4 linked regions of the Schizosaccharomyces pombe genome follow. Changing the gene in region 3 together with the main gene of any one other region gives a genetic interaction. Each region holds a gene or a part of one and is shown on either strand. Other genes may lie near its edges.

Region 1 (7,801 bases), 3.7 Mb from region 3:
GTATATGTAAATTTGTGTTTATCAATTGTTTCCTTTTAATAATTGCTTTCTGATTTTTATAAATGTATATGATTATTTTACATAAATTGCGTGTGGAAAACTATATTTCATCAATGTCACATTTTTTTTTTCAGTTTAGGATGAATGACATTTAAACGGCTACCCTAAGAAGTTAAGGGCTAATAATACAATTATTCAACTTCTCATGTGTTTTCGCACTGTTTCGATTAATGTTGTGCAAAATTTATCATCTCCATATCCCACGTCCCTGAGGAGTTTGAGCACCAGGTGATTACATTCAACATTGATAATATTCCTATTAAAATCGTTTGTATATCTTTTAAACATGAATTTCAATGGTACAAGGTCAATTAGATAAAGTTTGGTCTTGGTTATTAGAAAGAGATGCTTCGATATGGAAGGAGCAATCTACTATTGTGCAATTTTTGTTATATTGTCAAATTAAATTTGCCATAGTTTTTAAACACCATTTTTTACCTTTAAGTACACATTTCAAAGCCTATTTGAAAATCGCTTCAAAATTTTTTTGCGCTTATTAGCGGATTGTAACGAAGAACATTATGTGTCTTAAAGCAGTCACATTTCATAGCTATAATTTTTCGTCTGTCTATAGTCCCAACGTGCCCTCTACTCGTTACTAACAGACGATAAAATGGCGGAGGATGCACCGGTTGTACAACAGACTATGCTTGAACCTGAGGTGCTTTTAAAAAAGCGCAAGGTCAATGAGCGTACTCGGAAAGAACGTGTTGAGCAGGCTATTGCCAAAAAAGAGGTATGTGAATTGCTTGTTCTACAGGTTTGAAATATCCATAATATACATATTTATATGAAAAAGATGAACCTTTCACTCTTGGATTGCTAGTTTCGACGATGCTGCTCCAAAATACCATCTTTCGGCTGATTCATATATTTTGTATTGGTTAAATTTAAACCTTTGACTTCATCAATTTTTATATATTGTTAAAAACATTTTACTAATTTTACTCCAGGCCCAGAAGAAAAATCGTAAAGAAACCTTCAAAAGGGCTGAGACTTTTATTAATAACTACCGCCAACGAGAAAGAGAACGGATTAGGTTAAATCGATCTGCGAAAAATAAAGGAGACATTTTCGTGCCTGATGAAACAAAACTTCTTTTCGTTATTCGAATTGCCGGAGTCAAGAATATGCCTCCTAAAATTCGCAAAGTTCTGCGCTTATTACGCCTTTCTCGAATTAACAATGCCGTTTTTGTGCGAAATAATAAAGCCGTTGCTCAAATGCTTCGAATCGTCGAACCTTATGTTATGTATGGTATTCCCAATTTACATTCTGTTCGTGAACTCATTTATAAACGTGGCTTTGGTAAGATCAATGGTCAGCGTATTGCTCTCTCTGATAATGCATTAATTGAGGAGGCCTTGGGCAAATATGATGTTATTTCCATTGAAGATATCATTCATGAAATTTACAATGTAGGCTCTCATTTTAAGGAAGTTACTAAATTCTTATGGCCATTCACTTTGACTCCAGTTAAACACAGTTTGATGGAGAAAAAGGTCAAACATTTTAATGAGGGTCGAAAGGCTGGCTATTGTGGAGAAGAAATTAACGAATTGATTAAGAAACAAGTTTAAAACTTTCTTTGAGTTCGTGTAATGACTTAAATTTTGCATTCAGATGAAAATGCAAAAATGTATATTAGACTTTTTATAGGCCGTGGATTGGAATTTAATTAATTGGGTTACATTATTCACTATCTTATTGATTTATTAGAACTACTATGTAACGTATCGTATGATGAGGGTAATTTTGTAGTTAAAAAAAACTAAATTATTGATAAATATTGTACATTATATAATATGAGTGCTGTGTTTTATGAGGTTGTCACAAGCACCTGTAAATGTTCATAATTTTACACACCATAGCAAAGAAGGATTTTCCTAGTCTTCCTGAGAGAAAATGCCATGATAACTTTGTTCAGCTTGCGTTGGTCCAAATTCGGCATCATCGTTCACATCATTATTAAAAGCAGCAAGCTCGGATTCATTAGGAATACCATCTAAGAACAATGATTGACCAGCATCGTTTGTGGTTGATGGCTCCTTAATGCCATTAGTTTCGTCGCTTCGGTCAAGCGCAGAATTAAACATTCTGGATGAGTCACTTTGCTATAAAGTTAATGTTAATAAATTATTGTACTTAGTACTAAAGCCGAATTACATACATCAGTTTGCCATCCAATAGATCCAGGGGGATTATGTGCTACAGCAGTCAATGAGTTGTTGCGCTCTACTGAATTGAACAGAGAAGCTGGTGTTGAACTGTGCTGCCATCTATTTCCCATCATAGATGACACCTCTTGTTCATCTGATCCAACTACAGTTGCAAGAATGAACTGCGCTTCAATTTCGGAATTTTTCCCTTTTGCAAAAGTTAAAAGTATCGGTTTTCCTGGGACACCGTAATATGCACAAATCGAGCTTCCCAATGCCTCTGCTAAAATGACGGCAGCACGAAATTCACGTAGAGAAAGGGTAACAGAGACTCCCTCATTAAGTGCGACGCGTTCAAATTCTTTACCATCAATGGAAACAGTTGTTTGGGTAGGTTGCTTCAAAATATCTCTATTATGTACGACCTCTTCTGTGAAACTTGTAAGTAAAACACGTTCTTGAAGTGGTTGAATTGTAAGCTCTTCCGTTCTCTGACCAAAATGTTCAGTCAAATCTTTTAGAATTTTTGAGTTTATTTGAAAATTATTGTGACTAAGAGATTTATCAAAAACAGCGTGTAAAGTTTGGGTTTGTTCATATGATATTTTATATGTTTTAATCACTCCTTGATGAATAAACGTTAGTAGAGCAAATAAAATAATAAGACGGACAAACTACGTACCGTGCTTGCATAAGAATTTAAATATAATCCTACACTCGCTACCAGTAGAGATTGAGATTTGAACATTCTCGACAATCACATCTTTTCTGCTTGCAGATTCACTGCCATAACCGTTCTTGCTATTGGTAGTGACGACAGTCGGGATGAAATCAAAGATTTTGTTTCTAAACACAGATAGTATGGGCTTGACTTGCGTACGAATACGTATTGTAGGAGTCATCAATCCCGTCAACAGGACGGAATCCGGCTGAAAAATGTACTTGTCAAAAAATGCCTTTTTTAAAGTCACCATGCTAAATCCTGACCTAGAAGAATTTAAACATGTAATCTCTATCTTTACCAATTAGTTTCAATGTTTAGTAAGGTTTGAAAAAAGTTCCAACACACCTGATTTTTGTTAATTTCCCAGTTGACAGCATCATCGATTCTAGAAAGATTTGTAAAGATCCTTGCGAGGTCCCGAAGATTAACATTTGAAACAGTGAATTCCATTTTATATACCAGTACGTGAATTGATGTAGACGAATGCTGAACGAATAACGATAGTTTCTAGTCGATATGACGATTAATTTCTTAATTCATGCTAATAGAAGTAAATAAATCTCGACAATTTTTGACAAACAGAATTGAAACTGGTATATACAGAGGTAAATCTATAATGTGGTGTTTTCTAGCACCTGCTTTAACGCACTTATATTAGTATAGACACGCGCGCCGAAATTTGTACGAAAGTGTAATGGCCAACATCAATCGCAAAATAATCTGTATATACACAATGAATTGTAATAAGAAGAAACTTATAGCTGCTTTTAATTTGCAGCAGAAAGAGTTCAACTGTACATCATATAAACGTACATACTTTTATGCTTAAAATACTAAAGTGCACAAAAACTAAAACCTTCAGCCCAAGATAACCCTTTATTACTTGTAATTGCCCGACATTGTGACCATCTATGTAACCATATATATGTTAAATTTTTTTATTAACCTAAATAATTGTAAACGAAATATATTATAATAGAACCAAAATCCGCGAATGCCCTTTTTAAAACCGAAAAAAGATATACTGTAAGTAAAAATAATCATGCACCCTAAATGTTTAGCACAGCTTGCGTATATTAAAAAAAAGACAAATAGTGAAGCTTATCCAACACGCACAAGCTTATTTTCAACCGAAGAGAGAAAATCCGTCGTTGGAAGAGATCAGTTCATCATCCTTCTCCACGAAGTTTGAAGTATTTGTATCATTAGCTGTCTCTGATAAATCTAATTGTTGACCCAACAGACTACTAAACAAATCTTCAGTTTGTTCATCCGGCCATACAGTCACTTCAATGGGAGCCATAAAATTTTGTAATTTATCATGAACGTGATACCTTATTTTTCGACCTTTGGATGCCTTAGTATCAACGTTTTCTTTCTTCTGTTTTTGCTTTTTTGTAGCCATCCAACGAACAGTGCCATCTCGAGTAGAGTCTGCCATTCTAGAATTAATGAAATCCTTCAATAATGATTGATAAAAATCCGTGTCGTTGTAAATTTCGGGATTGAAAGTTTTGTTGTTAGGGTCACTGTAATCAATTCTAGTGCGCTCGACCAAATCTTTCTTGTTAATCATAGAATTTTCGATTTGTTGAACAATACTTTGATTTAGAGCCTTGAATTTGTTAGATTGCGAAATCCCTTGCACTGCTTGAACCCGATTATGCCATTTGGTTAAAGTATCATTTTTCCACTCATTCAAAGAGTCGTCAAGGTTATTCATTTCTAAAGCAATTTCTTCTAGACTAACAGGATTCTCTTTTCTTTTTGATCTACTGTCAAGAATTTCCACTCCAGAGTCAATAAGTAAGTTTTTCCTCAGCTGTAAAGTGTGTTGAATAAAAGATACTAAACCATCTCGGGCTTCTACTTTATCACCTTGAAGTTGGTTGCTGGAAGAAAGAAGTTGACTACATCCTTTTTGAAGACGGATTCTAGTATCTAAAACATTATCGTAAAAACGCATCTGCTCCTTCAAAGCTAAACCCTTTTTCATGTCTTCAAGGGCGGATGTACGAATTTGATCAGATAGCTTTTTCTCTCCATTTATAATCTTTTTTAAACGATCCATGTCTTTTTCAGGAATGGCAGAAGATTGGTCGTCATCTTCATTTTCCTCAGAAATTGATGAAGCTTCTGAGCTTGAAAAATTTTCGTGATCTTCTGAAACTGCATCATTTTCGTCTTCCTCCGAATCTTCTTCTTCAGATGGTGATGAAGATTGAGAGTTTAAAGAACCGCTATTAAGTAATTCCTGGCGAGACGTTTTTCTTCCTTTAAATTTTGGGTCTAACTGAGGAGCCTGTTTTGAGCGTAATTTACTTTCACTATAAAATATGAAACATTAGTATAAGCTCAAATACGCAAAAGTAAAAATTTTGAACATACCTAACATCAACATAATGTTCTCTCCCTAAGGTATCGTTTTCTTCTTCGCTAGAGTCCTCTCTATCAGAGAATGCGTCCTCTAAAGCTTCAGGGTCTCTTTCTATTTATGTGAGTAAGAATCCCGGAATTTTTCGTTAATAACATACCCTGCGGTTGAGGGTTTAGCATCCCTGCCAATTCATCTTTTAAAGAAACTAAAGATTTATTAGAACCTAAAAATATCTTATTGAACTTACCTTTACCCATTTTGAGCAAATTTTGATGTGTCTGGGACTGGGTAAGTGAAGGGGTGTGGGTTAGCAAAATTATCATTGTATGAAATAAATATAAGAATGAAGTTTGAAGGCATTTATCGGATTCAGCTAGTACAGACGAGGTTATATTACTTTGTTTGAAATAAATAATATGGTTTTTATGAAGCAACCAAAAGTTGAAAAAACGAACACAGCACGAGAGTTGATTATATTAGTAAAACGACGTAGAGAATGCAACCGACTAAAGTATCGATTTTTAAAGGGCTAAAAATTGTTCGTTAAAGCTCAAGGTAAAAACTCGGAAATTCCCCACATCTTGCTTCTTTCTGTCTAGACAATGTAACTAAACAATTACCAATTTATTATTTTATTGTTTGACTGTGTATTATGCTAACGAGTATTATGTCTCTCTAAAACTGTTATAAGAATAGGAGTTGAGTTTTGGTAAGTGTATGCTTGCTGTTTCCAATAAAAGCGGTCTCTATTTAACTTGTTGCTTATTTTTAAAAAGCAAAAAAATATCTTAAAACAGTGTTGATTTTAAGTAATGTTTACAATTAAATTCAAAAATTTCGTTACACATACGATTCGAAAATGGGGTGCTGCTGTAAAAGAACGAGACGTAAACTCTTATACTTAAAAAAATAAAATAAAATCTAATTTGTTTTTTTTAAAGTTTCATACCTTGCTTTTGTCAATATTATTCCAATACCCTTGCATACTGCTTTTGCTCAATAATATTTTAAATCGAATCGGTAACAGAGTATATGTGAAAGAAAATAAAAACATTTAAAAAAAAGTTTTTCAAAAAATCTGGAACCAAATGAATTGGGCATTGAAATACTATTTGTCCTTGATAAAAATCTTTGCCCATGTAAATAAATCCAGGATTAGACTAACACATCAAAATTTGAATTAATCGATGAGTTAAAATGAATCGCTTTCGACCCTATTATATTAGTTTTATATCAACTATAAGAAAAAAGTTCCTAAAAACAATTTGTAATATCATAAACATCGATGTTGCAAACCATTATTAGACAGATAGATGAAAGACTACAAAATCAAATACATTTAATACCGATTTTCTATTATCTATCTTTCATGGAATATCCATTTTCAAAGTGCTCATTCATAAACATTGAATGAATTGTGCATTCATCGCCATATTATTCGGCCTCGCTTACTAGTCGATCAATTGGGATTTTCGAAGGATCTACCTATCGATTTAGAAATTTTTTGCCAATATGCGGTTTTTAAAAACAAAAGATATGAAAGATATTTTAGTCAGTAAAATGCATTTGTTAGTTTTGCCGGCTTCACAGTCAAAACCATGTTTTCGGTTGTATAAATTAGATATGTGGTTTGCTCCACCAATTTGCCTCCCGCTTATTTCTCTCAACTTGCACGCACACAGCAAACTCGAGCCGTTCTCTTGAGAAGCAAGGATTTCTTCCGTTGAATTTATTTAAAGCTAACGCTATTCAATTATTGATTAGCCTTGTTGATTTCTTCATGCTAATATCGTAAAAAAAAGGTGTAGAAGTTGCGGTTGGCTTTCTTTAGTCCATTTTGGGTCATTTTTCCCCAAAAATTAAATTTGTTAAATTAGAAGTTCTTTTCATTTTCTTCATCCATACCCTCTTCTCAAAGGTTTTGTGCAAGATTCCTTAATCTTGGTAAAGGTATTTTTTTTAAATTTAATTTCATTCCATTTCATACCTTGTTTTTTTTTTTTTGGATATTTTCAGCACTTTTTAAATTGTGATGGGTATCAATACGTCTTCTGCTCAGAGTTCAGGGGCTGCTTCCATCGCTCGAAGTTCTGTAAATGTGAAGTCTGGAAATCGGCATTTATCATCTAATAAGAAATCAGCCACTTCAGCTCTAGAAGAACGGGCTTCTCGTCCCTCTATTCTTGTCACATTTCTTGTTTTGGCAGGCACAATACTTTCTTTATACATCTGGCCAATTTTATCTCCCGACCTTTTTTTTGCAAATCAACGGTGCTCCTTCAAATATAAAAACAAAGGCTCGCAGAGAGTAGTAGTTGAAGGAAAAAATGGAGTTGTGGCTACGGAGGAAGAGACATGCTCCCAAATTGGTGTTGGCATCTTGAAGGCCGGTGGAAATGCAGTGGATGCGGCTATCGCATCGGGAATTTGCATTGGAGCTGTCAATTCATTTTCAAGTGGTATTGGCGGTGGTGGATTTAT
Region 2 (9,009 bases), 960 kb from region 3:
TTTTTGAGGGTGTCTCTTCCTTTGATTCGCCAAAATTAAGCATTGACATCATGGGGTAAGGTGTCCTGTTTTGTCATTCGTCGTTGTTTGAATTAGATCATGTATAGGAAATCATTCGTCCAGGTGTCGGTCTTTTGTGTCACCATTAATCAGTAGGAGTTGGAGCTTTGTTTACTAATCATCGTATAAGTCATATATGATTTTTACTATAAATATTGAATTCGCCCCCCTTTGCAGTTCACTGAAATAAGTAGAACAGCACGGTCTTTTCGTTTCTACAACACGCTTGCTATTCTCTTATTAGTATATTCCTCTATCTATAGTCTTTCCTTCACTTCCTACATCCAAATTGATATAGGTTTCCTTTGTGGTATTATTACTAACAACGACAATTGATTGTTTTAATTCATTGATTTTGTCGTCTTTCGGTTTTTATCACATTTTATAAAAACTGCATCCCCCTCTTCTTAAGAATAATAAGAGGCCATTGTTTATTTACCCCGGTCCTTTTCTGACCATCTAATCTTTTCGTATTAGGTGCTCTTTTACTTATAGTTTGGTTTCGCCCATAACTTTTTGACGACGTTGTTTACTTTGGTTGATATAAAATTATTTTATACAATCGTTAACACCTCATATTTTCCATTTCATTACTGATCTTTTGGTTTTGTCCTGTGTTTGCATTTCAATTCAGCTCTGCCAAATTTATCCCACTACTTCATTTTTTATCTTTGGTTTTTTTTTTTTTCTAGTTAATTTTTTAATTACTCTTACTCATTTACGACAACGACCCCTTTTCTCAATTTTTTAATACAAACTTTTCAAAATGTCTACAAAACTCGTTGATCACGTCGAAATTACCGTTCCTACAGGAAAAACTTACATTCAACCTGTCGGTCTCTTTATCAATAACCAACATGTCGATTCCGTTCACGGTGGTCGTGTGAAGGTTTACTCTCCTTCTACTGAGAAACTTATTTGTGAGGTAGCTGACGCCGACGAAGAGGATGTCGATATCGCCGTGAAAGTTGCTCGTGCCGCTTTCCAGACCGATGCTCCATGGCGCAAGTTTTCCAGCGCTCAACGTGGACGTTGCCTCTCCCGTCTCGCTGACTGTATCGAGCAAAACTTGGAATACCTCGCTTCTATTGAGACTCTTGACAATGGTAAGAGTATCACTTTGGCTAGAGGTGACGTTCAAGCTGCTGCCGATTGTTTCCGTTATTATGGTGGTTGGGCCGATAAGGATTATGGTCAAACCATTGAAACCGACATTAAGCGTTTTGCCTATACTCGTCACGAACCCATTGGTGTATGTGGTCAAATCATCCCCTGGAATTTCCCTTTCTTGATGTGCGCTTGGAAAATTGCTCCTGCCGTCGCTTGTGGTAATACTATTATTTTGAAGACTGCCGAACTCACTCCTCTTTCCGCTCTGTGTCTTACCAAGTTTGTTCCTGAATGTGGCTTCCCTCCAGGTGTCATCAATGTTCTCAGCGGTGATGGTCGCCGTTGTGGTAACGCTATTAGTTCTCACATGGACATTGATAAGGTGGCCTTTACCGGTTCTACCGGTGTCGGTCGTATGGTTATGCGTGCTGCCGCCTCCTCCAACCTGAAGAAGGTCACTCTTGAATTGGGTGGTAAGTCTCCCAATATTGTTTTCAACGATGCCGATTTGGACTCAGCTGCTGTCTGGACTAACTATGGTATCTTTTACAACTCTGGTCAAGTCTGTTGTGCAGGTAGCCGTGTCTACGTGCAAGAGGATGTTTACGATGAGTTCATTAAACGCATGGTTGCCAAGGCCAAGACTTTGAAGGTTGGTGATCCTTTCGCCGAAGATACCTTCCAAGGTGCTCAAGTTAGTAAGCAACAGTATGAACGTATTGTTAGTTATATTGAGAGTGGCATTGCTCATGGTGCCAAATTAGAGATTGGTGGTAAGCGTCATGGTAATCTCGGTTACTTTGTCGAACCTACTATTCTCTCCAACGTTACCGAGGACATGGCTGTCGGTAAGGAGGAAATTTTTGGACCCGTTCTTGCCGTCATTAAATTCAAGACCATCGAGGAGGCCATCCGTCGCGGTAACAACAGTACATATGGTTTAGCTGCTGGTGTACACACTAACAATATTACCAATGCCATCAAGGTCAGCAATGCTCTTGAAGCCGGTACTGTTTGGGTGAATTGTTATAACTTACTTCATCACCAAATTCCCTTTGGTGGTTATAAGGAGAGTGGCATCGGTCGCGAATTGGGCTCTTACGGTCTTACCAATTATACTCAAACAAAAGCTGTTCACATCAACCTGGGAATGGATTCTCCCATTTAAGGAAATCAGACGCAAATATTTTTTGTAAAAAAAATAAAAAAATATGCATTCAATGGATAAAGAATGAAGAAAAACTCTAGTGAAGAGAATTATTGGATTTTTCTCTTTATGTTATGAATGTTTACAGTTTTTCTTGAAACTCTTCTATGACGGATTTTCTTTATTATGAATCAAAACGGTTTTGATATTTGAACTTTCAAATGCATTTTATTGAATTTACATAGTGATGATTCTTTATGTTAGTGGTACTTTAATATATTCATTTTCGTTAATTGCTAGATGATTTTATTTGCAGGTAAATATAGCCGTAAGTTTTACTAAAAGAACGGAATGGGGATGTTTTTGTGGTACGCATTCCTTTGGGGAAACAGATTGATTTGTATTTAATTTGCGAGGATGTGGGTGCGGGACGGGAAAGAACAACACTGAAGAAACAAGTATCATTATTTCATTTGAAAAATTAGGGAAATAGATTCATCTGTTTCATTATCTAAAAATTAGTGTACAACTGCTCCAGCTCTTCGGGAGAGACGCAAACTTCCAACAATTCTGTAGTGAGAAAATACATTTCCTCACCCAAATTGCCAAACGCTTTTTGTTCAGTATCGCCGAATGCGCAGCATGCTATTGCATAAACGAAACGAGGTTGTAACGCATTTTCAGCTAACATAAATTTTGATGATAAATCTTCGGAAGATAAAATGTACAGAAGCCGAACAAGAGATACTAAAATCTCTACGCATTCATTTTGAGGGTACATTGACGAAAGGAGTTGCTGATGATACCAAGTGATGGCTAGTCCGATGCATACTATTAAGGGATTGCATACTTTTAAAATCTCTTTACCAATGTTTCCAGACATTTGTATAAACACGGTAAAAAAGGATATGACAAAGCGATGAAGCGTTATCCATTCATTCTAATTTGTTAGAAATAAGCAATGCAAAGATTATAAGCACAATTCGTAAACGTACCAATTCAGGAAAATTAATCCTTTCCCTAGTAGTAACAACTAAAATATGGGCCATAGTTGTGAAAAGTTGCATGAGTGATTCTTGGGATTTATCATCGGCATTTAACAAGTTAACTGAAGCGCAAAACGAAGGAGTGGTGGAACTAATAATTAAACAAACACCACATTTAATCAAAGAAGGAGCATTTTGCACTCGAATGCAGGATTCGAATAACGACGGATCAACCGCTTTAGTAATGTTTGCAAAGTCATCAGCACTTTCACGTGCTATAGATAAGTATAAATAAAGAAAATCTATTAAAACGTAAAACTTTGAGTCCAAAAAATTGCTTTTTTCGTATTCCTTAAGAAGAAAACCACTTATTAAAGAAACGACATTTTCCTGAAAGATAAAGGTGGATGATTTAGGGTCCAAAATTAATAATGCATTAAACAAAGATGTTATAGCAAAGGAGGCATTATATAATAATTTTTTCATTGAATAATTTAAAATCGACGATGATGTTTGAACGACAGATTGTACATAATTGGAGGAATCCATAGATAGATCGGGACTGTATATTAGAGCTTTCAAGTTATTAAACAAACATTCACCTTCCTCCTCTCCTTCAATTGTTTCTAATGAATGCATACAACCACCAAATACGTATGCTAAAGTTCTAGAAGACTAGAAAAGTAAGAAAAGGGAATAAAATTTAACACGACAGTTTAAAAATACTTACAAAATACAAATCTTCTCTTTTTTGTAGAGAAAGTAAATCTTTCATCAGGCTCAAAGACAAACTTGCATCTGATATAGCAATACTAGAACTCACACTATCCGTTGAAGCATCTTCAGCAGTAGCAACACTTGTTTTGCGCTTCTTTTTAGAAGGGCTGTTTTTTGCAGCATGCTTTGTGCTCTTAGCAAGCTGATCAGAAGAAGATAACAATTTATTGTCACCATCTTCTTCATGGGATTTTTTCATAATCGGAGAATTCTTTACATCTCTTTTCATTTTTTTCATAGTTTCGATAGCATCCTGTGCTTCACGCTCATGAAATAGGGATTTCGTTTTTGCGTATTCAATTTCTTTTTTAAGCTCCTCTAATTTCCGTTGGTATTCATCTTGCTTTTGCTTTATAGAATTATTTAACGATTCTAGGGCGGCATTATTAGCTTCGGATTGTTTTAGAAGGTTAGCACGAAGAATTGCATTTTCTCCCGACTTAATTAAAAGTTCTGTTCGAAGGTCATTAGAGGATAATGAGGCTTGTGAGTTTACGGTAGATTCCCGGACTTTTTGAGAAGAATTGGTGTATGAATTTGGAAGATTTAAATTTTGCTTTTGCTTTTCACTCGGTACAACTACTTGAGAACTTTGAGCTTGAACCTGGGTTTGAGCTTGTTGCTCTAATTCATCTAAATTCACGCCTTCAAATATTTCATCCGAACCCAAACTCTCCAAGTCAAAACTTTCATCAGCCATCATTTTGTTTGTAGCTTTCACTCTCGTTTATGCGTAACAATAGTTGTTTGAAGTGATTCCAAATTGTAATATGGGCCCAATGTTTTTCTTATTCTGTAAAAAAGAATTGAATTCATAATAAATCGTAAATTGTTTCAAATACTTTCAGCAACCTTGGTAACTGTAATTATCGTAATTCAGCAATTGGAAAACCTTAACAGTTAGTAAGCAATATTATGCAGAGAAGATAAGGCCGAAAAACCATATCTCTTTCTAGTATGAATACCACATACAAACGAAACACTAATAGCAGAATATGACTGCAGTCACTAAGGCTGCTTAATCGCGTAACTTCCTGTATGAATAATTGAACCCTTGTAGCAATATGAATTGATTTTGCAGAGCACCAACAGATATGATAAATAAGATAGTCTTTTCCAAAATGCGCAGCTATATAAGATGCTTTAACGATACGTTTAACTGCTATGAGTATTTCTTGTGATCTTTAATTTACTTGTTGAACTTGGCGTATTAGTGCATTTTGGTTAGCAATCGAATAGCCAACTTGAAGTTTTACGAGTTACGTAATCGACAATAAGACCTCAAGTACTGTAAATCACTATTAGCCAAAAATCAAGTATTTGAATTGTCAATAATAAAAAATAAATAAAATAAGTGTATGATGTTTGAATGCTTTTAAAAATAAAACATGAGAAAAATATTTTTTATACTTAAATTAAGGTGTTATGACAAATGGCTTCCATCATTTATTCGAATTAATAAACATAAAAGAATTAAAAAAATGAAAATATTATTAAAAAAGTAAGATCGAATTGTAGTCTAACCAAATATATCAATGGATAAAATGAAATAATTTGTTATTTTGTTTTATTGTAGAAATTATTAATTTCAATCTCTATTGAATACTCATAACCTCGAAAAATTTAAAAGTTATTTATTTTCAGACAGTCCAACTCCTAATCGTAGAACATTTTATAGTTTATGCTGGTTTAAACGGTTTATTGTTTCAACTCGAACAACAATGACAAAGCCTAAAATGATGATCATATGAATTAACGTTAAGTTCATTGTTTCTCCCCCATCCATTTACTATATTATCAAAAATAAAAAGGAAAAATCTAAACCAAAACACTTAAAGCGTTAATTATAAGTATGTTTAGGTCAATGACAGTCATATAAACATTGATTAAATTGATCAATGCAGTACTATATTAGTCATATTACCAGTCATTCAAATCGTATAAATTAATCCATGGCTAGTAAATTGTTTAGTGACAGAGATTTTTCTCTGACATGAAATCTGAATTATTTCTCTTGTGAATATCTTTGTTACTTTCTCAAGAGTGTATGTATGTGCCCTAGAATAGTGACTTCCTTTATCAAAACTTCGAGTTTATTGCCCTTAGGAAACGTACATAAAAAAGTTGAAAGTCATGTTTTTTCAACATAAAAAAACACAAACAAAGACTTAAATAAAACTAGTACCATTTATACAATAACATTACTTGAATTAATAAATTTAAGTGTATTTTTGCGGCATTATCTCAAGGGACTCCAGTAGATTCTACCACTTACCACCTGGCAAAAGCAACACTCCTCCATGTCTACAAAATCCTACGATTATTTAATCAAATTACTTCTCATAGGAGATTCAGGTGTGGGAAAATCATGTCTTCTTCTGAGATTTTCGGAAGACTCGTTTACCCCTTCTTTTATCACAACGATTGGAATTGATTTCAAGATTCGCACGATTGAACTAGATGGAAAACGTATCAAACTCCAAATTTGGGACACTGCTGGCCAGGAACGTTTCCGTACCATTACCACTGCTTATTATCGTGGTGCAATGGGTATTTTATTGTTATACGATGTAACTGATAAAAAATCATTTGATAACGTCCGAACTTGGTTTAGTAACGTTGAACAACATGCTAGTGAAAATGTTTATAAAATCCTTATTGGAAATAAATGTGATTGTGAGGATCAGCGTCAGGTCTCCTTTGAACAGGGACAAGCGTTAGCCGATGAGCTGGGCGTTAAATTTTTAGAAGCTAGTGCGAAGACGAACGTCAATGTAGATGAGGCATTTTTTACCCTTGCCCGGGAAATAAAAAAACAAAAGATTGATGCAGAAAACGAATTTTCCAACCAGGCAAATAACGTTGACCTCGGAAACGATCGTACGGTGAAGAGGTGTTGTTAGGCTCCTTATTATTATCTTGTCACATTTTCTTTTTCGCTAGTTTTTGATATTAGCACCGCCGATACGTATATAGTCGTGAAGTGTGTGGAGAGCTTGAAGGAGTGGAGATTGGCATTGCTTTTTATATCTTGTGTTGGTTATCGTTTCCGGATTGCTACTTTGTTTCCTTACTCTTTTCAACTCTACCCGGTTGGGAAGTTTATAATATTTCTCTATATTGTACACTTTCTCTTACTTTTTAATGCTTTCATAACGTAAAATTTATGCCTAATAGCTTCAATCAACTTTTGATATGCTTTCGAGTTGTTGTGATTAGATCGAGTTTACATTTTGGAATATAATCAATTCCCATGTTTTTTTTTTCAACGTCTCTTTTTTCATTGCAATTTCCTTAACATTTCAAAAAGTAATGCCTTTGCTTTTTCTTGGGGCCATTTTCCAATGTTTCTCGCGAATCCTTTTATCAATTTGCAACGAGCAATCAAGCACCATCTAATTCGTCCTGTTGATCTACCTCATTTATTTTTTACGGCTGCTGCCTATTGTTTTAAATGTTTGGGCCACTGAACCAAGTTTACATTTTTCATCATGTTATACCGATTTGATTAGGTTGTCATCAATCGAAACGTCTTTTAACGCCTATCTTTTACATATTTTAATTGCCTTATCTTCATCTTCATTTAAACGTAAGATGACTACTTACCTTGTTACATTGTAGATTTTATTTTATTTTTATCTTGCAACGAGACCACAACAGAAGCCTTTCCAAGATTACCACTTCAGCATCTTAATCTTTTTAAACAACGTATTACTATATGAAAGTCGATGTACCAGATTATTGCCAAGATTAAAACGATTTCAGCAATGTAGAGTAATTTGGCATACTCATACTCTTGTTTGTTTACGTTTTTGTTAACTACGCAATTGCTAACCAAGATAACGATGTGTTACTTTGCGGTAAGTCTCAACTTGGGATTTTACTATTTTCTTTTCATGACAATTTAACGATATGCAATTATATATATATCGATAGTCAGGTTGGACTTAATGTACAATTACCAGCTGATAGCTGATAATTGAAATATGAAACGCAGGAAATTTGATTCAATTTATAATATTTTCATTTTAGGATATATTAAAAATTACGAATACATTTCCGTTTTGGGTGACAAATATAAAACTTAAGAACAAAAAATGTAGCGAAGCATACCGTAAAATGGAGTAGTGTAGTGAGCAATAGCCACGGGTTCAGAAAATAATAAATTCGAAAAAAACCAACTCAAAGAGCTACTATAGTGAAAATTAACGATACTATCTTTAAAATATTTACGTTGGTACACTCAATTTTGTAAACTGTTGATAACACGAAAGATTGCAAGGTTCTCTGAAAAATGGCGGATTTTATTTACCAAGAACAAGCAACGTTCTGTTTTGGGAAATAGCGAAATGTCTAGCCAAGTTAGTTATTTATCGACTCGTGGTGGATCTTCAAATTTTTCTTTTGAAGAGGCTGTGGTATGTCACAAATGCGTCTTACTTATAACTCGGTTTACTAATTGCCATTACTGTATAGCTTAAGGGTTTGGCTAATGATGGAGGATTGTTTATTCCATCAGAAATCCCTCAGCTACCTAGCGGATGGATTGAGGCTTGGAAGGACAAATCCTTCCCTGAAATTGCCTTTGAGGTAATGTCTTTGTACATTCCTCGCTCTGAAATTTCAGCTGATGAATTGAAAAAATTGGTTGATCGCTCTTACTCTACCTTCCGCCACCCAGAGACTACTCCTCTAAAATCATTAAAGAACGGTCTCAATGTACTTGAGCTCTTCCATGGTCCTACTTTTGCGTTCAAAGATGTTGCTTTGCAATTTCTTGGTAACCTCTTTGAATTTTTCCTTACTCGTAAGAACGGAAACAAACCTGAAGACGAACGTGATCATCTGACCGTGGTTGGTGCCACTAGTGGTGACACTGGTAGTGCAGCTATCTATGGCTTACGTGGCAAGAAGGACGTTTCAGTTTTT
Region 3 (6,680 bases):
CAAACAAATGGAACAGTGAACTTGGATTTCTCGATATGGTTGATATCATCAGCAGGCGTTAAAACTTCAGACTCATCAATATAGTCAACACCAATGCTTTCCAAAATTTGAGCCTCGACGAAGTGTCCAATACGAACCTTAGCCATGACAGGAATTGAGACAGCAGCTTGAATTTCCTTGATCATAGAGGGATCGGACATACGAGCAACACCGCCCTGAGCACGAATATCGGCAGGAACACGCTCCAATGCCATGACAGCGCAAGCACCAGCAGCTTCAGCAATACGAGCTTGCTCTGCATTCACGACATCCATGATAACGCCACCCTTGAGCATTTGAGCAAGACCAGCCTTGACTTGAGTAGATCCCTTAATTTCGGCAGACATGATTAAGTAGATGCGATTAATTAAAATTTACTTTTTCCAAGCAAACAATAGGATGTATAAAGTGGTAAAACGAAAATGCAACAATGATTTTTCTATAGATATAATGGTCTTTGCCTTTAGACAAATGAGATACAAGGATCCTTTAAAGAAAACACCTAAAAATCAAAAAAATGAACCTTTCGAAACTCAGAACCTGACCAAGTTTTTATGTCAACACACAAAATGTGACTGTGATGATGGAAGAAATTAATCGAATAGCAAACAACACTCGCCTTATATACATTTTCATGCTTACCAAGATGTAATATAACGAAGCGTAGCATACACTACTTTAGGAAGTAAATGTCCGAAACCATTTGATTGATCCCGATAAGTATACAGTGGAGGCGCGTAGAAGATGTAAGCAACTTACAATTGATGTTGAAGCGATTTACAAAGAGGCGGATGTCTTTCTTTATCTAAACGACCTGCTAAACCTAACGTCAAATTGTTATGCTTGGAGGGAAAGCACAAAAACTGTTTCTCTCCTAAAGTCGACTTTAATAAAAGAATCCTCCTATTTATTTACATGCTGCAATTATCCGACAATTCATACTTTTGAGATGCTTCGTCATACTTTTAAAACGTACAAAACAATAAAGAATTACTAAATGAAATTGCTCATCATATATCCGGCGTATAAGTCATGTCTTTACTACCTTTATGGAAAGTTGCATACATTTTTTAGCGATCAATGGTAACAGGCGTGAACCGATTGCATCGGAAATATGGATATAAGCGTTCTACCAGATAATTTCTTGGTATGTTACCGATCAGCGTCTGCAATGTCCGTAATTTTTTGATGGATTAGGATACTGACTACCGACACCCAATATTCTTTATCTTATTTTGTGGGGACTGAGGTATCCAAGTCGCCGAAGAATGATCGATGTATCCATCTTGCGAGATATTTGCATGTCCATGGAAATAGATTTTATCAATACTAATTAAGAAGCCGCAAGTAGAGCCTTTCCTAACAAGGGCTTTATGCATCGCTTTATATACGCTGCTTCAATTGTCATTAGATTTTTGTTATGCAGTAATGTTTAACATTGTTTACCTTGAAACAAGATCGTTGAACTGGAAATGTAGTAATACTTCAAGGACTCCTCGTGTCCTGTTTGTTGTTTAATATAAACATACCAGGAATTGATTGGTATAACAATAACTGACTAGTAAAAAAAATCTGAAAAGAAACACATATTATTTATAACACTGCAATGTACCTAAAAACTGAAATACTCGTTTTCCACTGCTGTCTTATAGACTCATTTGAAAGGGTTTCAGCGTTTTTGTATGCAGTCATCCTCCCTATGAAACTAGTTGGCCATAAAGCGGTAGTAATTACTTTTGTTTTTCAAGCTAATAGCGGATGAGTAGAAGTACCAAAAAATTTACAACAAACTTTATCAAAATAACATCCTAGTTGTAAATTTTATGTGTAGATTAATTGATTTTATGGTATCTTTTGTTTTTAAATAAATTATTCCATTTTTCCCTCTCAAATTATTATTTTTTTTTTAAATATGACTGTTTTTTGCCATATTCGCTGTTTAGTTTGCACTTTTTTAGTTAGCTGAGTAACGTTATTACTGTCTCTTTGTAATCTATAAATATAAGCATTTTATTACATCTTTTCAAAAAAAAAATAATAATAATAATAATAATAAAATTTTATTACTGAAACAGCGTAGAATTCCGTGGCATGTTGGGTAATACTTTTCACATGCCGTAGAGAAAATATCAAAAATTGTTTCCTTTTACGTTACAACCCCTACCAACGCCCTAACATCATAAAAGAAAAAGATTTAAAGTAGAAATAACAAGTTACAAAAGTCGCCCGCAACAGGTTACTTTGGTCGATCTACATGTACACCAAAAAAGTGACATTTACTGAGGAAATACGAGGAATGAGTCTTTCAAAAAATTATGTACGTATTAGAAAAAAATTACTATTCAGATATTCAACGACAACAAAGTAATCCATTATAAGTTGGTCAAGCAGAAAACGATAAGCAAATAAGATAAAATAAAAAAAGATATGACTAGATCATTCATAGATGTAAAGAGTTTAATTAACAAGGAGAGACAAATGCCCAAAAGAAGAGGGGGTTTAATTAGTAGAAAATCACTTAGCCGTCACTCACAAAACCAATAATAAAATGTATTAATGGTATAGGGAATCAACAAAGTCAAAGACTAATGAACGAAGGAATAATTGGAACTATGAGGATTGGTGTCAAATTATCCTTAAAGAAGAGATATACGAGATTCACATTTAGCTTATAATCTCTCATTGGTACCCTCCATGACAACGTCAAACGGCTTCAACCATTCCGGTTCTTCAAAGTCTTGAGGAGGATTGGCCCAGTTATAATTAGGAATTGCTTGCTCGAATGGACGCTTAGTACCGTTAGGCTCATAAGAAAATGCGGTATTTTTTAAAGCAATGTTTTCAGAAACAGTGTTGTAAAGCGGTGGGTTATAGGCAGGAAACGTGGTTTGTTTCGACTTGTATCCGGTGGAAATTGATTTACGAACCCGCATTCCCACGTCCATTAAGGAGCCTTGAATGCTTTCGGGAAGCTGAGGACGCATTGAAGACTCAGGCTGCTCAACATGAGTCTTTGTGGTCATAACTCGCTTGCTGCTGTGCATTTTTTCCAAAATAAATTGTCGACGAACCTTTGTGTAGTGTTTGGTTGTGGGAGCGTTTGCTACTCGGCTTTGTGACGTTTAAAGCAGTCAAATTTGTCTGGGGAATGCCTATCGAACACGGATCTCTTTACATTTCACTAACCCACGTTATTCATAAATGGTAGAAAATCTACAAAATTTGGAATTGCAGTTTTATTGCTTTTGCGATTGAGATCTTGTTTTCTTGTGGTTCTGCCACTTTTTCCGCACTCTTTATATCTAAGAGTTAAAGTAAAACATTTAAAGCAATTAAATTCGCTTTCTCTTTTATTGCCAACTGCTTTCAAGGTAACAGCTGAAACGTTTGTTCGTTAAATTTGGTCAAACCTTTTGCAAAGCTTGAAATCGCTTCTTCCTTTGTTCTTCACATGTTGTCTCATCGTAACTTGGCCCCTGTTCGGTATGGTTTTCTTATTAACTTTACTGGCACCGTCGTGCCATGAAGGACAAGTAGCTGCATATAGATTGTAGTAAGTATAGCTTGAGTTAAAGACCTTTTAAGATAAGATACACATATATAAACATATGGAATAGGTTTATCTTTTTTTCTTAGCCTTTATTTTTGTTTAATAGCTTTTTAAAATTAACAATGACTAATGCTCTGACAAAATTTTAGCATTATTTCAATTTCGCCAATGTATATATTATGTGTTTAAACAATATTAACAAAAGTGGTTGGGTTTGAAGAAATAAAGAATCTACCTAGAATTAACAGGATGAGCATTTTCAAAATAAAATGACTTTATTACATACATTCCTAGTTTCTTTCTTTACCGATTCTCAAACTTCTGTTTAATTACTGCTTCAATAGATGCAGGTAGATGATGATTTTACATTAATAAGACCAAGGGAACAAAAAGAATACCAAATATAATTCAATACCACATGCTTGGATTTGTAAATTGAACATATTGTAAACTTACTTGTTCTGGGTCTATCCAGTATGAGCACGCTGACTGCCTCACTCAAAATATTCGTTGAAAAAGCTTTTCTTATTCATTCATTGTTGATAATTAGTGTCTATCTTTGCGTACCATATGTTTTTTGGATAAACAACCTACTACAGTTACATAGTATGATTGATATTATTAATTCAAAGATATTCGCTACATAAGGCGCCGAGTGTAAAAAACAGAGTGAATTTTATTACACTAACAGTGTTATTTCTTCAACAACTATTATGGAATTTCTGGAAAAGAATGGCATTCAAATGTTGCGCGTGATGGTGATTTTTTGTAGATGCTTGAATGAAATGAAAGTAAAGATTTTAAAGCCTTTTCTTTTAATAGGTTTCTTTAATATTTAACACTAAAGTCAAGAGTTGTCGTTTACACTCCGGTACTGTGAGCCCCTACGAGGATTCCGCGAGTAAAGAAGGAACGCCGCCAACAGCCACAACTTCTTCCTTGAGACAATTTCCTGATCTCACTGTTTCTTTGACACGAAACTTTGAAACGTTAGAAGATCTATATGTTACGCATCGAGATATTTTCGGAAATTTTCTAAAAAGAAGATTTTCGGTGAAATTTCAGCTGGTCTTCTTTCTATTGTTTTGGCTTCCTTCGGCAATTACTTTTTGTTCAATAAAACTGTAGATTTTTTAACTTTCTCTTTCTTTTTGTCCATTATCATACAATGCAGACGGCATCATCTCTTTCTGTTTTAACTCCTTTGAATGAGGAAAACGTTGATAGGAAGTCTTCTTGGTCAAAAGACACAATCGCTGTCCAGGCAGTCGGTTCATCACCATCTTCTTCGTCATCTCATGATTTCGAAAGTAAAGAGGATGCCGAAGGGATGAATAAAGACGAAAGTGCTCCTTCCCCTTCTACGTCCTCGCCATCGTCTGCATCCTCTCGGTCTCAAAGCAAATATGTTAGAAAAGAGGCACTTCCTCCTCAACTTTTTCATCACCTGGATTCTGCGAAAGATAAGGCGCTAACTACGTTCGAAGAGATTCAAGAATGTCAGTATGCTTCCGCCAATATTGGTAAGCCTCCAGAAAACGAAGCTATGATTTGCGATTGTCGGCCTCATTGGGTAGATGGAGTTAATGTTGCTTGTGGGCACGGATCCAATTGTATTAATAGAATGACTTCTATAGAGTGTACGGACGAAGATAACGTTTGTGGACCATCCTGTCAAAACCAACGCTTTCAAAGACATGAATTTGCAAAGGTGGATGTTTTCTTAACCGAAAAGAAAGGGTTTGGTTTGCGCGCTGATGCCAATTTACCCAAAGACACATTTGTCTACGAATACATTGGAGAAGTTATACCTGAACAAAAGTTTCGTAAACGTATGCGACAATACGATAGTGAGGGAATTAAACACTTTTACTTCATGATGCTGCAAAAGGGGGAATATATTGATGCTACTAAAAGGGGGTCGCTCGCAAGATTTTGCAATCACTCTTGTAGACCTAATTGTTATGTTGATAAATGGATGGTAGGAGATAAGCTAAGAATGGGTATATTTTGTAAAAGAGATATTATTCGCGGTGAAGAGCTTACTTTTGACTATAATGTCGATAGATATGGTGCACAAGCCCAACCTTGTTATTGCGGAGAACCTTGCTGTGTAGGGTATATTGGCGGAAAGACGCAAACTGAGGCTCAATCGAAACTACCTGAGAATGTCCGAGAGGCTCTTGGTATTGAAGATGAAGAGGATAGCTGGGAAAACATCACTGCACGTCGACAACGTCGTAAAAAGGGAATTGACGAAACTAGCAAAATTATTGAAGAGGTGCAACCTACTCCTCTGACATCTGAGTCTGCTACTAAAGTGATTGGCGTTCTCCTGCAAACTAAGGATGACTTATTAACAAGAAAGTTAATGGAACGCATTTTCTTGACTTCAGATCCTAGTGTATGCCGTTCGATCATTGCGTTACGTGGTTACAACATTTTTGGTTTGATGCTGAAGAAGTTCAGCATTGATATTGAGTTTATACTACGTTCTATAAAAACCATGTTATCTTGGCCACGCCTAACAAGAAATAAAATCCAAGATTCAAATATTGAGCCCGTTGTTCAAGAGTTTTGCGACCATGAGAACGAGGAGGTCAAAGATCATGCCAAAACTCTTTTAAAAGAATGGGAATCTTTGGAGATAGCTTATCGAATTCCCCGAAGGAAGCCTGGTCAAGTTGCTCCACAGTCAACGAACGCAGAACCCTCCAATAATCAAAGTAATCCTCCTTTAAGGGATCAGGAACCACAACGTGGCGATAAGGGAGATATAAAATCTGCAATCAATAATTCAACAGAAGATTTGAGCAAGAAACATCCAGCATTACATTCTTCTAGGCCTAGTGATAGTCGTTCACGTTCCAAGTTTGGAAATGACTATCAAAGCCATTCAAAACACAACCTTTTTCGTAAAAATTCTTTCCCTAAACGTCGTCGTCTTTCTAACTCTGACACTCCTTCTGAAACAACTACACCAAATAATGAGCAAGAACAAGTCAGCAATCAAGCTAATAAAGTAGATTTAAACAAGATTATTTCAGCGGCAATGGAGAGTGTCAATCAGAAAAATGTGTTGAAGGCACAG
Region 4 (7,789 bases), 3.4 Mb from region 3:
AAGTGCGTTAATATGATAAAAGTGTTATTACCTTTGTTAAAAATACGTTAATCGTGGTGTTTAAATGAACAGAGTCGAGTATATTAGTAACGTCAATGAGCATTTTTAGGAACAAGGCTCGTGGCATGTCTTAGTTTTATAAATTTAATATACCATAATCCATAAAAATTAAAATGTTCGAGGCCAATTGAAGTGCACCAAAATCATTTCGACAACTTATGATCTGTAGTTTGCGTTTATTTTAATTGTTACAACAAATTGCCAAATAAAGTGTATAAGTATAAAATGAGTAAAATAAAAGCTGAAATAGCTAGCCACATCTATTTTGTATAGAATTAGTTATTATTGTTTGCAACTTCGTAAAATATCCTTAGACCATAATTATAAAAAATGAACGTATAGGGCTAAATTGTATATTATGAGAAATAAGAAGTTCTAGTAAATAGTTGCTTGCTAGTAATAATTTAGCGCTAGCGCTGATTAAATAATGGATTTCTTTTAAGTGTTGAATAATCATTATTAGTATATAAAAAACTATTAAACTGAACGTTTGTTTAGGAATAGGAGTTCGATTAACGGTGAGGAAAAAACATCTAATTTGGATTGCATATATTGACTGGTATTTTGATTGCTTCCAAAAAAAAAAATAATTGTCAACAAAAAAAAATTGCAAACTAATTTTATGCATTAAGCTTTGGTAAACAGAAAAAGCTTATAAAGCATCCAGCGGAAGCAAAAAAATGACAAATCAAAGGATTAAATAGATATGGAAAAAGAAAGAATCCTAATAATATTCAAATGCATTAGGGAATAGTCGTTATTTTTGACAAAATATTATGAAGCCTCACTTATAGTCTTCTTTTCAAGAGAAACAAGCCGAATATTGAGACATTGCTATGCGTGATAATTTTCATTTTTCACTAAATCCCCAATAAAAAATCTCCGAAAAATTCTTTTCTCTAAGGTTAGCCGCACTTCCATGCAGAGAAGAATTCCATACGCGAACGCTCCCATCGTCTGAAATACTTGCCAATTGACCTTCACTAGACCAATCAACTGCAGTAACATCCTTAGTATGACCACCTGTGAGCATAGCAGACGATGAACAGTTTCTTGTTGTGTCAAAAACAACAACACCACTAGTCTTGTCTTGAACGCCTCCACCGCAGGCTAAAGTTGCTCCGTCAGGACTGCACGCCAACTTTACGTAGAATGAAGAAATTCTGAGTCTAGGGTCTTTGTAAGTCTTGCAAAATCCGGAGTTTAAGTGACGAGATGAATATTCATAAATGATACTATCTCTGGAAGCAGCATAAATACGCTCACCGTCAGGAGAAGTACAAACATTAGTAACACCAAAATCGCGTTTTGAAGTAGTTAATTCGGGAGTAGTAGCAGCAGGTAAAGGTCGGACGGTATGTACAGTTCGTAAATCCCATAACTTTAAGGCCGAGTTTGCAGAGCAGGACGATATAACTTGCGAAGTAGATTGAGGGAGCCACGTAGCTGAGGTAATTGAGCAATCCCTTCCCGAATTTTCATGTGCTTTTCTTATCCTTAACACTGGTTTCTGAAAATGCTCACCGTCAATTGTTATCCCGTGTGTTCGCATATCCCAAAAGATAATGGAACCATCCCGAGAACAACTTACCAAATTATAAGGAGAATCATTGCAAAAATTAACCTGCTTTACTGAATGAGAGTGGTATCCATCGACACCTCGTCGTCCCAATCGAGTGATGCATTGTTGCGTTGACAAATCAAATACCTTTGATGTTTGATCGCCAGATGAAGTAGCTAATAATGAATCATCTTTAGAGAAATTAACACTAAATATAGCATTGTTGTGAGCAAGCCAGCCATGGATTCTTCGAGCAGACGGCTGATTTTCCTCATTCTGTCTATCGTAAAATCGAGAATCAAACAGCTCAAGAGCTCCAGTCTCAGTACATACGGCCAATAAAGACTCGTTATTAGCAAATCCAAGACAGAACGGGAGTTGGTTCAGCATCATTAAGCATTCCGAAGGTCGTGAGTAATATGTTTCGAGATTGAGTCTACCTCCCACATGACGAGAAGTTTTTGTGCTAAAAGGGTGCGACCGGGAACCTCCCAGTTGTCTGATTAAAAGTTCTTTACAAAGTTGAGCAGGTTTTTTTTGAATATGAACTGGCTTGTGTAACAGGGGTTTCTTTTCAAACACAATGCGTTTTCGAGGTGTTTCAATTTTTCCTCGGCTTTCTAGGAAGTCGTAAAGCTTATGTTTTTTGGAAGGTGCTGCGGGAGAAGAATCAGGAGTCGGAGGTAATGAGTTATTTGCACGTGAGGTAATATCTCGAAGCCCACCAACATCACTCAAAGCTTTTCCAATGTCCATATTCATGGTATAATCATGAATCTTAATTTAATCCGCTTTTGAGGTCGTGTGTTCCAGTTTAATTTAAGTAGTGGATGGTAGCGTGAGTATATTAGATTTTCGTGACGCGTGAACGCGACGCGTCCGTGATCCATCACATGCACCAAACGTTACCCAGAATATGTTAAAGTAACAAAACGCGTATTTCAAAGTCATGTTTAAGCATATTTGCAATTACAGATGGGTACAGCCTAAAATTCTTGAGGAATAAATAAAAAGGATAAAAGTTTTCTAATTACTTGTTAATTTTTCATAAAGGATGACTTTCGTATTTCTGCCTATGATATAATGAGCGCTCGAAAAGTTGTCAAATATCTCATTTATTAATAATAATCGAAAATATTACGCGTCAAAAGAATCTTTCACTCACAATTCTATACTTGTATAGTCAAATTACAATCTCAACTCGCGGAGTGAATATAAGTTAGCTGTTCACCTTGCAGGACCCAAAAGAAAATAGTATATATTTGTTTCAATCAAGGTAAAGAAAATTTTAATGTAATAACTTCGTTAAGTATAAATTTCCTTTCGTATCCTTGGATTTTCAAACACATTTATCCTGTCTAACACTATTGAACAAGACAAGTTCGTGCTTTTATCAACTACAGGTTGTGAACAACCTCCATTGTACAACACCAATAGTGCATTCATTACACTCTTTCCAATATTTCTAATTACACCTCTTAATTTATTTATAAATTATTTCTTTTTTTCTTCAAATGAGTGAGTCTGTTACTACTGGATCTGATGATGATGGAGGAGACAGAGAATCTTCCCCTGTAATGCTTTCTCAAAGTTTTGATCCCATGAGCAGTAGTTCAAATTCATCTTCTGAAGAAAATAGCGATGATGATTACGAGAAAACGATAAGCTCAAAAAAACGGCATCCACGGCCAAATTCTAAAGGAGTAAATGTAAAACGCTCTAGGAGGAACGCTATAGTTGAAGAGGATCCTCAAGAAGAAATTTTTAACAACTTATTTGGTAATGATAAAGTCCTTCTTTTTTTCAGCTACTAACACTGAAAAGCTTTTCTGCTTGACCAAAAAGTTGATACCATGGACATCGCGGTTTCGTGGTTTGCTGACTATGCAAAAGATAATCAATCTGCCCTTGCAAATCTTATTAACTTTATTTTAAAGGTAGAGTCATTCTTTTCTTTCTTTACTAAATATTTTAGTGCTGTGGTTGCAATCGTGCCATTAATGTGTTTGATGTTCAGGATCAAGATTCTGCTTCAGCTACTCTATCTCAAATTCAACTTTCTGTAGAGCGTGTAAGTGCTTTTGCGAAAATACTTTATTTGTATATTAACAACTTTAAGACTTCTACTCGTGATTATCCTTTAAATTCAAAAAATCTTAAGTTTAGGAATTTCAGAAAGAGATTGACCGGTCTTTTAAGCAACTTTGTGTCACAGTTGTCAATAAGAAATTACTTGTACAATAGCACTGTTTTTGAAGATATTATGTCTTGGGTCGTTGCCATGTCTTCTTCTACGATGAGACCTATTCGGCACACCGCCACTGTTTTCTGTTTGAATATTATGACTTTTTTATGTGAAAAATCTAAAGAACTATTGAACGAGCATGCAATTGCTACCAAACAGCTCGAGAAAGAAGAAAAGCGCTCTCGTGTAAATAGAAATCGCATCAACGAACTTAATAACAGTCTTGGTGAAATAGTCAAGCAACAAGATACATTGACTACATACTTAAATGACTACTTTGATAGGTAAAGATCCCTCAAACGCTTTAATTTATTTATACTAACCTTTATATTAGTGTCTTCGTCCATCGATATCGAGACGTGGAGCCTAAAATAAGGGTAGATTGCTTACAAGAGCTTGGGGTCTGGATTAATACTGTTCCAAGCATATTTTTTTCAGGAAGTTATTTAAGATACCTAGGATGGATGCTTTCAGACATAAACACTACCGTCAGATTAACTGTAGTTAAAGTTTTGCGCAAATTTTTTGAGACAGATTCATTTATTGGTGGATTAAGACATTTTTCTTCTAGATTTAAAGAAAGAATACTCGAGATGAGTTGTGTGGACGCCGATATTGGAGTTCGTGTAGCCAGCATTCGTTTGTGTAACGCTATGAGGACTTGCGGATTTTTAGAAAATTCTGAAATTTTAAAAGTGCTGAAGCTAATTTTAGATATCAATCCAAGGGTGCAACGTGAAGCCGTACTGTTTTTATGCAAAGTGGTTGACGAAAGTGTGAATGAAAAAATTGATTTATGGGGTGAAGAAGACTATATTCTAAAGGCCTTTTCTCAGACTTCACTTACTACATTTTCAGTTCATTGGATAAAATTTTCCCAAATGTGTAAACTTTTGGAGGAGGTTAGATTGTCTTACCAATCGAGCTTTGATTATGATACATTATTACGAATCTTCCAAAAAAATGGTAATTTCATTACTCCTATAACACAAGCTTTACTTAATGCATGTGAAATTGATTCAATCTATCAGTCATGGGAGGATATTAGCAACTTCGTACTTTTTGATAATTATACCTCGACTCTAAAAGATCCGATAGACAGTATACTTTCTTTCTGCAAGCTAAATGATTTTCAGGAATCTATTCTTTTACAGCTTCTCTCTGCTTCAATCCAAACTGTCTGTAATAACAATTTTATCACACCTAAAACGGTGCATAATAAGCAAGCGGCGGAAACGACCAACGATCAAAATAAAGATAAGGACTTACTTTATTTGAATCTTCTTCCTTACATTAATTCAATAACTGAGAGAAATTCTGCTTCACCAACACTTCTTCATGATTCTCTTCGTTTGTTATTCTCAATGGATTTGACAGAAATGACAGACCCTCAACTTTCCAGACATTTTGAACTTCTAATTAATAATTTAAAAAAATTTTTCCTAACCAATAATGATCTTCAAATTATTCAAGGTTGCACGATATTATTTTTACGGTTGGACTCTATTCCTGCTTTGAAAGAAGATTTGAAGCTTCTGGTTACTGACATTTGCGACCAGACGGTAACCGAATTTTTAAAGAATTTTGGATCTTTTAATATTCAAGATGCTGTAATAACAAAAGATGAATTTGTTATTTTTGAAGCTTGTTTAACAAGAATCGAGGGATGTACCTCTCTCAAAGATTTTTCTGACTATCCTGAGTTTGACATAATATATGAAAGGCTTGTTTCGCTTCTTTCGCGGGTTCCTAATAGCTATGAAGATACATTGAAGTTTTCTGCAATTAATACTTTACAGAGTCTATTGTTTTGGTTCTTTCTAAGGAAGGATAACCCTGCTGATGAGGAAAAAAAGAAGGATGATGAGACTAAAGTTTTTAATTGTTTGATTAATATTATGAATAATGACAGCTCTAAAATTTTGCAACTTCAGGTATACAAAATCAACTTATTATTTGATTTAAGAAACTAACTTGACCAGGCAGCCCGAACTTTTCTGGAAACAGTGATAATGAAAGAAGGTGTTAAAGCATCACATTACAACGATGACAATCGTGTATCTGAGGAGCATAACTTTTTAAAACCTCAATTTTTAGATGCTCTTTTAAAAATACTTGAGGGATGGTTATACACATATGCCAAAGTTGGTCAATTCCCCTTCAAGCGTTTGACTCAAGCAAGTTCTCCACATACACAAATTTCTTTGGACAAAAATCCACTTAATAGAAGGCTATTGGAACATGTATGTTGCGATTTGACTAGTAAATTATTAATAGTTGTTTCATTGTCAAATACGATAACACCAGAATTTTCACAACAGTTTTGTGAACTAAGAGGGCACTATGGACCGAAATTATCTGCTATTGTGGATGAGTTTTTGAATTAATTAAATTTAGATTTAATGCCTGCTGTATATTTAAAGTAATTAATTATTTTTAAGTCAGCATTAGAAATAAATTCTTTTTTCATTATTAAAAAGATTATTTCCGCTTGGTTTTCATTAATTCTCTATATTTCTCTATAAGTTCCAAACGCTGCTTTCCTAGAGCTTGGCGTCGTGCCATAGATTCTGTTTGACCCATATTATTAACTTTGGGAACATTTTCCAAGTACTTTGTCTCTTTAATTTTTAATTCCGGAAGTTCAGGAGGAGCTTGCACAGTTTCTCCAAAGGAAGGTTTTGTTTGTAAATTAGCCCACGGATCAGGCGAATTTTTTCGTTTTTTTCTAGACTCAATTTGGATAAATTGTCTAATATGTTAGTTTATACGAAATGAAATTGGTGATATACACATACCCAGTAGTATCCGCCTCCCATGTTTTATCTTCAAAATTTTCCTCAATTTCATTCCAGTCTCTTTCACGCTTCTCTTTTCTTTTCGCTATTTTTTTCTTTTCTTTTTTATCAGTAAATTCGTCTATTTTGCTCGGCCCAGACTTAAAAGATACTGGAATAGCCTTATTTACGCGCTGACTAAATTCACTAAGGCGTTCACCGGGTAATCTTTGAATTTTCCCATAATCTTTTTTTTTCTTATTTTTAAGGTTGCCTTTCTTTATTTCCTTCTTTTTAGATTCATGGTACTCTTTTTGCTGTAGCAATCGCTTGAATTGCTTTGGGAAGTTGTCATCTACACTTTCATCCTCCTTGGGAGCATGATCGAGTCTATTAACCAAATGTTAGTAAAAACATCTTGCTATAGAAATTTTTTACCCAATCTTTTTCCGTTCAGCCTCAAGAACGGACCTTTTCTTAGTCTTAGTAGGCATATTGCGCTTGGATAGTAAACACAAACGAGAAGCAAGTAATAAAGGAAAATAGCGAGCCTAGCTCGTATCGCAATTTAGATAAATTTGGATTTGTTTTAATAGATACTCATGGGATAACAGTAAAGTTTATTAATGAATACAAATATCTTTTTTTATTTTAGTGGACAAGCTGTAACGCTTTAGAGAGAAAAAATTTCAGAATCAAGTTGGAAGCAAGCTTAGTGAAGATACTTTTCGAATCATACACGAAAAATATATTAAAAAATATATATATCAAACACCAAATATACACTATCTTTATTAAAATCGTAATGCTCTTATATGTAAACACTCAACTATCTTTCTTGTTGAGTATTTTGCGAGCTAATTAATAAAAATTAAAATGACTACAAACAGAGTACTTGAAATTATATAGAAAGCGAAACAGTACAAAATTACAATAACAAAATAAAAAATTCGATAACAATCTGCTTCCATAAGAATCAAATTTTATTCTCGATTAAAAGAAAACTGTTCCCAAAATCCAAAAGTTTAGATGAGCAATTTCTCTATTGCCAATTTAATAGCTTGAATTTGAGGAAGTAAATCACTAGCCTCATTGGTAGTAATGCTGGCTGAAATCACCGGTCTACTTACACCACAAGCACGTCCC

What was found.
Region 1: of spd1 (region 3) and rad9, a mutation in one rescues a mutant of the other (synthetic rescue), as found in Schizosaccharomyces pombe (one study listed by BioGRID).
Region 2: of spd1 (region 3) and rad26, a mutation in one rescues a mutant of the other (synthetic rescue), as found in Schizosaccharomyces pombe (2 studies listed by BioGRID).
Region 4: of spd1 (region 3) and cdt2, changing one suppresses a phenotype caused by changing the other (phenotypic suppression), as found in Schizosaccharomyces pombe (3 studies listed by BioGRID, with this or other methods).

Annotation. Positions count from the first base shown.
Region 1 is NC_003424.3:1,712,144-1,719,944, forward strand, and holds rad9 (checkpoint clamp complex protein Rad9), read right to left. Parts: upstream 3,574-7,801; 5' UTR 3,394-3,573; coding exon 3,289-3,393; exon of another isoform or gene 3,236-3,288; coding exon 2,902-3,235; exon of another isoform or gene 2,845-2,901; coding exon 2,231-2,844; exon of another isoform or gene 2,175-2,230; coding exon 1,947-2,174; 3' UTR 1,777-1,946; downstream 1-1,776. Other genes in the region: ribosome biogenesis protein rlp7, read left to right, coding at 674-796, 1,014-1,640; bfr2 (traub family ribosome biogenesis protein), read right to left, coding at 4,070-5,270, 5,332-5,431, 5,478-5,525, 5,568-5,577; gamma-glutamyltranspeptidase Ggt1, read left to right, coding at 7,353-7,801. UniProt on the Schizosaccharomyces pombe protein: Acts in DNA repair and mutagenesis. Involved in promoting resistance to ionizing radiation and UV light, as well as regulating cell cycle progression after irradiation. Repressor of entry into mitosis that is activated by chromosome breaks.
Region 2 is NC_003424.3:4,446,889-4,455,897, reverse strand, and holds rad26 (ATR checkpoint kinase regulatory subunit Rad26), read right to left. Parts: upstream 5,294-9,009; 5' UTR 5,053-5,293; intron 4,973-5,052; 5' UTR 4,784-4,972; coding exon 4,034-4,783; exon of another isoform or gene 3,979-4,033; coding exon 3,313-3,978; intron 3,258-3,312; coding exon 2,829-3,257; 3' UTR 2,529-2,828; downstream 1-2,528. Other genes in the region: atd1 (aldehyde dehydrogenase), read left to right, coding at 827-2,338; GTPase Ypt2, read left to right, coding at 6,381-6,983; SPOM_SPAC9E9.06C (threonine synthase), read left to right, coding at 8,430-8,498, 8,557-9,009.
Region 3 is NC_003424.3:5,408,892-5,415,571, reverse strand, and holds spd1 (ribonucleotide reductase (RNR) inhibitor), read right to left. Parts: upstream 3,130-6,680; 5' UTR 3,084-3,129; coding exon 2,709-3,083; 3' UTR 2,353-2,708; downstream 1-2,352. Other genes in the region: snz1 (pyridoxal 5'-phosphate synthase (glutamine hydrolyzing)), read right to left, coding at 1-386; histone lysine H3-K36 methyltransferase Set2, read left to right, coding at 4,758-6,680. UniProt on the Schizosaccharomyces pombe protein: Regulates the ribonucleotide reductase activity through its mediation of the nuclear localization of suc22, the small subunit of the ribonucleotide reductase. Delays the progression of the G1-S phase transition, thereby ensuring the G1 phase is complete.
Region 4 is NC_003424.3:2,033,268-2,041,056, forward strand, and holds cdt2 (WD repeat protein Cdt2), read right to left. Parts: upstream 2,438-7,789; 5' UTR 2,384-2,437; coding exon 911-2,383; 3' UTR 689-910; downstream 1-688. Other genes in the region: SPOM_SPAC17H9.18C (uncharacterized protein), read right to left, coding at 371-688; mitotic cohesin complex non-SMC subunit Psc3, read left to right, coding at 3,136-3,400, 3,446-3,558, 3,597-3,692, 3,741-4,150, 4,201-5,800, 5,849-6,253; SPOM_SPAC607.02C (uncharacterized protein), read right to left, coding at 6,348-6,618, 6,665-7,033, 7,082-7,137; U3 snoRNP-associated protein Snu13, read right to left, coding at 7,669-7,789. UniProt on the Schizosaccharomyces pombe protein: Substrate-specific adapter of a DCX (DDB1-CUL4-X-box) E3 ubiquitin-protein ligase complex required for DNA replication during mitosis and meiosis.